Callithrix jacchus: one gene and its partner. The protein of the gene in region 2 purifies or fractionates together with the protein of the main gene of each other region. This does not show direct contact. Links are inferred from orthologs where the notes say so. Each region holds a gene or a part of one and is shown on either strand. Other genes may lie near its edges.

The links. Proteins that work in one complex are often made in the same cells at the same time.
Region 1: the proteins of PRKAA1 (region 2) and PARS2 purify together in Homo sapiens (affinity purification with mass spectrometry; 3 studies listed by BioGRID and IntAct, with this or other methods). This does not show direct contact. The link is inferred for Callithrix jacchus from reciprocal best matches to the Homo sapiens genes PRKAA1 and PARS2.

What each region holds. Positions count from the first base shown.
Region 1 is NC_133508.1:91,923,039-91,926,760, reverse strand, and holds the start of PARS2 (putative proline--tRNA ligase, mitochondrial), read left to right. Parts: upstream 1-837; 5' UTR 838-1,513; intron 1,514-3,722. UniProt on the Homo sapiens protein: Mitochondrial aminoacyl-tRNA synthetase that catalyzes the specific attachment of the proline amino acid (aa) to the homologous transfer RNA (tRNA), further participating in protein synthesis.
Region 2 is NC_133503.1:164,809,521-164,813,170, reverse strand, and holds part of PRKAA1 (5'-AMP-activated protein kinase catalytic subunit alpha-1), read right to left. Parts: intron 3,604-3,650; coding exon 3,379-3,603; intron 475-3,378; coding exon 1-474. UniProt on the Homo sapiens protein: Catalytic subunit of AMP-activated protein kinase (AMPK), an energy sensor protein kinase that plays a key role in regulating cellular energy metabolism.

The DNA.
Region 1 (3,722 bases), on a different chromosome or scaffold from region 2:
AAAACTCTGTCTAAAAAAAAAAAAATCACTAACACTTAACTCCCCTACTCCATTCTCCTTCCCTAGTTATTTTTTTCTTTATAGCCTTTAGCACCATCTGACTGACAGATTGTCCTTTAAATTTTGATATTTTATTCTCCAGGAACTTTTTACATCAATTTTGCTTTTTAAAAAAACAATTGTATTAAAATACTGTTTTTCTTGGTTACTGAGTTCTTTGCTCCCATTCCCTGCCCTGCTTAAATTTCACTGTATTGGTTTGTTGCCTGTGTCCTCTCTAGAACGTAAGCCACACTGATGCAGTGAATTTTGTCTATTTGGTTCTCCTCACTGTCCCCAGTGTCTACAGCAGCAGCTTGTACCTGGTAGCTACCGAAAAACTATTTTGTGAATGGAAATTTGAATTCGTGTCTTAAAGACTGTCTTGGGCACTGTAAAAAAGGTGTCTTTCTCCAACTGTTTCACAACGTTATATTACTTAAATGGAAAGCCCATAAAAATCATAGGATAGATTAGAAACCAATTGCCCAGTGTGTCACCATGGTTACAATGTCGCAAGCGGGTCTCCTGGAGGAGTGGGTGGGGCCTGGCAGTGGGCGGAAACATCACACTTAAATCATCATAGAGTTACACCTCCCAAATTCCTAGAGAATACTTCCGTCAGCTCCGGCCAATCAACGATCTTGGGGAAAGCCGGGTTCTCTCTCTTTGGCTAAACTTCCGGAAAACCTCTCACTCGTGTCTAGAGTGGGGCGGGGCCAGAACTCCCGTAACTCGCCCCCGTCCCCGCCCCCGTGAGCGCGACTTTGCGATTGGCGAGAAGGGCGGGAATTGCTCGTGGCGCAGGCGCGCTGTTCTGACGCGGCGGTGGTCTTGAGCGCGGCTTGGGCTGGGATTGCGGTAGGTGAACGTGGGTGACTGCCAGACATGAGAGACGGGTGCAGGCAGCTGAGTGAAGTGAGCACACAGTTCTGGGCGCGGAGACCTAGGACCCTGGTGTCCGTTTTCCCACGTGCATCCTGTCCTTGAGTTGGGGCGGGCCGAGAATCACATAAACTTGGATACTCCTCGTCTCCTGGTCTCTGTGTCCTCGGAGGGCAGCACTTACTGGTAGCACTTACTGGTCTCCCTCGGTCGTCGTGAGAGTCACGCGGTGTTCTCGAAGTGCTAGTTCTGGAAAGGCCCTGGACCACCCGCTGCCTGAGCCAGCCTTCCTGTTTTATGTTGGAGAAAACGGAGGTCCGGAGCGAAGTAACTGGACAGGGGTTACCGAGCGAGTGACGGCCGAGCTGGTTTTTAGAACTAGGCCTGGGGTTCCATTGCTGTTTAATGTAGCACAGTTCGTGATGGAAACTGTAGGATTTGGAGGCGAGGACCTTGCCTTCCACGTCTGACCCTGCACTTATTTGCTGTGTGGCTTGACACAAGTGACTTTATATCTCAGAGCCTCACTTTTCTGAGTTAGGCCTCATCATCATAATAGCAGCACTTTATGGCACTTAATATGTATCAGGTAACGTTGTAAACGCTTTCTGTACAGCTTTTCTGATTAGTCTGGGGGGCAATGGTGAGTCAAAGAATCTTTAAAAAGACCTGGTCTGGAAGGGCTGACAGTGTCCCGCACAGAAAAAATCCACTGAATGACTCAGAGGCTGTTTGCCAGAGCCTGAACTGCTACGTATGTTAGTCACTATATTGCTTTCTAGATACTCCTTGTGGATAACTGAAAAATTAAGATAATTCTACTTATTCTCCTGTTCATATAAGCTGAGGGGTCTGAGGACAGACATGGTGCAAGTGGGGGAAGAGGGCTTAAAGCTCTCATTTAAATTATCCAGATAATTATATCATTGTACCTGTTTACTTTGTTCTTAGTTTATTAATGTATTTGATCAACAAATAATAATGGGCTAAATAGTAGGCATTATGCTAGACTCTGAAATTTAAAGATGTATAAAACTTCATGAACTCGTAATTTCAGCAAGGAATAGAATATTAAACATCGACACTGACCTCCCCTGTTGGCCCCTATACACACACCCAGAAAGAAAAAAAAAGGTGTGAAACATTATTTGCTTCTAATCCCTGGCACACAACAGTTTCTCTAAAATATTTTTGGAGATGATTCTTGCACCGTGTACTAAAAAGAGGCGTGTGCAGTGGAGCACAGAGGAGGTGCTTTCTCTGTTTAGAGGGGTTGGAGAAAGTTTCTTGGAATAAGTGAACCTTGAATTCGAATTGGAGTTGCTGGGGGTTGGGGGAGGTCAGTCTGTTTCAAGAATGATGAGCAACTTGCTGGGGTAAAAAGCTGTAAGAGTTGTGTTGGGATCAAAGTATGAAGAGCTTTGGTGCCATTCTGACAAAATTATCATGAGAGCCAGCAATTAATGGATTGTAAGCAGGGGAGTGATTGGGTCAGCTGTCTTTTTAGTTGGAGACTCATATGGAGACTGGACTGACAGGGTCAAGAATCATTCAGTTCATTTATTGATAGAACATGTATTGAGGCTGGGCAGTGGCTCACACCTGTAATCTAAGAACTTTGGGAAGCTGGGGCAGGCGGATCACTTGAGGTCAGGAGTTCAAGACCGGCCTGGCCAATATGGTGAAACCTTGTCTCTACTAAAAATACAAAAATTATCCAGGTGTGAGGGCACACACCTGTAGTCCCAGCTATTCGGGAGGCTGAGGCAGGAGAATTGCTTGACCCTGGGAGGCGGAGGTTGCAGTGAGCCAAGACTGTGCCACTGCACCCAGCCTGGGTAACAGAGCGAGACTTCGTCTCAAAAAAAAAAAAAAAAAGTGGGCATGGCAAAGCCAGATCAGGGAGGGGGTAGTGCTGAGATGAGGCTCATGTGGGCTTCAGCCTTATTCTAAGGGTAGCAGGAGGCCATTTTAAGCAAGAAAAGCTGTTACCATCTATGCTTGGGAAGTCTCCCCTGTGGCTGCAGCATGGAGAATGGATAGAAGGAGGGCAGGAATGGAAGCCAGCGACCAGTGGGGAGGCTGTTGCAACCCTCCAGGTGAGAGATAAGGGTGGCCTGGACCTGGGTGGAGGCTGTGGAGGGAAGAGGGACAGATTGGACAGCAAGTGAAGAGGTAGGAATGAGAGAGCCAAGAGGGCTGTGAATGTGGGGCACAGGGAGGGGCAGAGCAGGTGAACCCCACTTTCTGCTTTGGACAAGGTGCAACTTTTGCTGCCATTCACAATGATAGGTAGTGCCAAAGGGGGAGTGGGTTTGGGGGAGGATGCTGAGTTCATTCTGGGCCTCGGAGTTTGAAATACCTGCATGGTGTATTCTCCGGGAGGCAGGTGGAGATTTTGAGTCAGCCCTCAGCCTGCAGGCTGTCCAGGGAGTGTGTGCTGTGAAGAGGGAAGAGACCTATGACATTTCAATGTTGGGGGGAGGGAGCGGGACAAGAGAGGGATGTGTAAAGAACAGGGTTCGCAAGAGACATCGCAACTAAACATCAGCTGCAGTCAACTCCAGGGCAAGGGATTACAGTTGATTTTCTTTTCTGTTTTTTCCCTTTGAGACAGAGTCTCACTGTGTTGCCCAGGCTAGAGTACAGTGGTGCAGTCTCAGCTCACTGCATCCTCCACCTTACAGGTTCAAGTGATTCTCCTGCCTCAGCCTCCCAAGTAGCTGGAATTACAGGCGTGTGCCACCATGCCCAGCTAATTTTTGTAATTTTGGTAGAGATGAGGTTTTGCCATGTTG
Region 2 (3,650 bases):
TCCAATTGTTTAATTGCTCTACAGACTTCTGCCATAATATCATTTGGTCGACTTTGACTTCTAATTCCTAAATGCCATTTTGCTTTCCTTACACCTTGGTGTTTGGATTTCTGTGGATTTAATTCATCAAGGGTATGGCGTGCCCTTGGCGTTTCAGCAACCAAGAATGGTACTCTTTCAGGATGGGGACGAGTCAGGTGGTGATCATCAAGAAAAGAATCAGGTGGGCTTGTCGCCAAATAGAAATCTTTGGCTTCATTCATTATTCTCCTGTTATCTATTATGAGATGGTAAGCAACTGCCAAAGGGTCCTGGTGATTTCTGTTATAAAGACAGCTGAGAACTTCCTCTTCTGAGCATTCAAACTTTTCACATACTTCTTTTAAGGCTTCATCATCAATCATGGTTGAACTATATGATGGATCCTCAGGAAAGAGATATTTTGGAAGGTCCTGTTTAAACCATTCATGTTCCCTGAGAGAGAATGGCAAGATCAGGAGAAGAATTCTGAATAGAGCAGAGACTAAGAGTAATAGTTTGAGGAATTTAGATTATGAATTAATATATATTTATACCCATACTATATTATTATCACTTTTTCCACTGAAAGTTTCCTCTTCTGCTCACACTTCATCGTGTATGTTGAGGGAAATGCTCCAGTTTTCCTCCAGTTTTAAGACGGAGAATGTACCAGGCACGGTGGCTCATGCCTGTAATCCCACTTTGGGAGGCCGAGGCGGGTGGATCATGAGGTCAGGGGTTCAAGAGCAGCCTGGTCAACATAGTGAAACCTTGTCTCGACTAAAAATACAAAAATTAGCCAGGTATGGTGGTGCATGTCTATAATCCCGGCTACTCGGGAGGCTAAGGCAGGAGAATCACTTGAACCCGGCTAGCAGGAGTTTGCAGCCAACCAAGATTGCGCCACTCACTGCACTCCATCCTGGGCAATAAAGCGAGACTTCAACTCAAAAAAAAAAAAAAAAAAAGAGGGAGCATGCACTGATGTACCAACGGGGGAAAAAGTATGGGACAAATGACAATGACAAAGAACAGCTTATTTCCAGCTCAGAAAGATGACATATCTTAAGTAGCTTCATTATAATTCTCTTTTGATATAATGTTAAGTGCAAATAATATAACAAGAAAAATAGTAGACAACTATTGAGTACTTACTGTGTGCTAAGTTTTATGCTAAACACTTCCTATATGTTGTCTCCCCTTATTCTCAAAGCAATTATATGAAGATAATAGTATCTCCTTGTTTTAAATGAAGGAACTGAGGTTAAAAAAAAAAATCAAAGAACATGCTCAACATCACAAAGACAGTAAGTGACAGAACCAGAATTGTAACTCAGTTCTAAGTGACTGGAAAGGCCATGCCCTGAATGATTTCCTATTCTAATTCCCTAACTTCATATATTTAAGAATATGTTTGACCTGCACTATGTCAAACATTATGTTAAACTTAAAAAAAAAAAAAGGATCCAGAGAGGAAAAAAAACAAAAGAACAATTGTTATCTTCTGGGTTATGGGATTAAAGGTAATTTTTTTGATGTTTTTCTAAGTCTTTTTCAATTGTCATGTATTACATTTTAATTGGAAGAAAATAGGTAAAACACAAGTGAAAACATTTGTTACCTAGGTAGTTTTAAAATATAAATTTTAGAGAATGATGTATCCTTTCCCTTTGGTGGTAAAATCATGCCCTGACATGCATAGTCTCTTTTTTTAGCTAGTCTAAAACATGTGTATTAAGTGGAAAGTAATCAAGCTTCAAGTTCTACATATAATCTTTCCTTCTTCTTCATTACACTCATGCTGCTTTCCTATTTACTATTTCTAGATCCATATCAGATGACGATGAGTTCATGTCCTTTGTAGGGACATGGATGAACCTGGAAACCATCATTCTCAGCAAACTGACACAAGAGCAGAAAATCAAACACTGCATGTTCTCACTCACAGGCGGGTGTTGAACAATGAGAACACATGGACACAGGGAGGGGAGCACTACACACTGGGGTCTGTTGGGGGGAAATAGGGGAGGGACAGTGGGGGGTGGGGAGTTGGGGAGAGATAGCAGGGGGAGAAATGCCAGATATAGGTGAAGGGGAGGAAGGCAGCAAATCATACTGCCACATGTGTACCTATGTAACAATCTTGCATGTTCTTCACATGTACCCCAAAACCTAAAATGCAATTAAAAAAAATAAAAGAATAAAGTAAATTAAAAAAAAGACCAAAGAGGGCAAAATTTCCATACGGAAAAAAAAAAAGAAGAAACAAAGCTTGCAGTAAAATTGTTTAAGTCTTCATCAGAAATGGCTCACCCAAATTTGAGAAGAAAATTTGTCATCATTTTTGTCTTATTTAAAATAGTAGGTTGAACCAGATGAAACTGGTAATACTGACTTTTACCTACAAAACAGGAATTTTGCATATATTGAATGTATACTACTGGGAAAAATATGTCAATTAAGTTAAAATTTTCTCATTCCTTGGGATTAAAAAAAGGAAAAAATACAATAATTCATGAGATAGGAAATCAAATAGCAAACCACAAATGTACTACTGAAAAGTATTAATCCTAACACCAGGCATACTGGCTCACACCTGTAATCCCAACACTGGGAGGAAAGGTATGAGGACTTGAGGCCAGGAGTTCAAGATCAACCTGGGCAAAAATAGAGAGACCTTGTCACTACAAAAAAAAAAGGCAGCTATGCATGGTGGTGGATGCCATAGTCCCAGCTACTAGGGAGGCTAGGATGGAAGGATCACTTGGCCCAGCAGTTACAGGCTACAATGAGCTATGATCACACCACTGCACTCCAGCCTGGGTGACAGAGCAAGACCTTATGTCAAAAAAAGTAATAAATAAAAAGATGTGTACATATACACACACACACACACACACACACACACACACACACACGGCCTCACTATGTTATCCAGGCTGGTCTCAAACTCTTGAGCTCACATGATCCTCCTCCCTCAGCCTTCCAAAGTGCTCAGATTACAGGTGTGAGCCACTGCACCAGGCTTTCATTAGCTTGTTAATTTAAAAAGTAATATAATGTTCACTATTATATTGACATGTAATATTATAATATTTTAAATATATTACATATATGTAATTTCAAAACAAAATGTGTAAGTAAAAAGTGAAAGCCCCTCCCTCTTACTAATCTTACTTCCCTAAGGTAATCAGTTTACTATGTATTTTTAATACCAAAATAAAATGTGTCTATACACTCTATTTTTTCACATAAAAACAGGATTACACTATATTTTCTGTTCTGCACCTTTGTTTTTTCACTTAACTTTTATCATGGATACTATCAGATCTGATAACTTCCAAATTGCTTTATTACCTGATATCTTTAATTGTGGCCCTCTTCATGGGATCCACCTGCAGCATATGTTTCAAAAGGCTAATCACAGAAGGATTTAAATATTGAGGGGTATAGAAGATCCCATCACATATCTTCTTAAAAAGAGTTGGCACATGGTCATCATCAAATGGAAGGGTTCCACATAATAAAGCATAGAGAATAACCCCACTGCTCCATATATCTACCTCTGGGCCTGCATACAATCTGCAACAGGAAATATAACAATTGGATTAAAGAATCATTTTAACCTA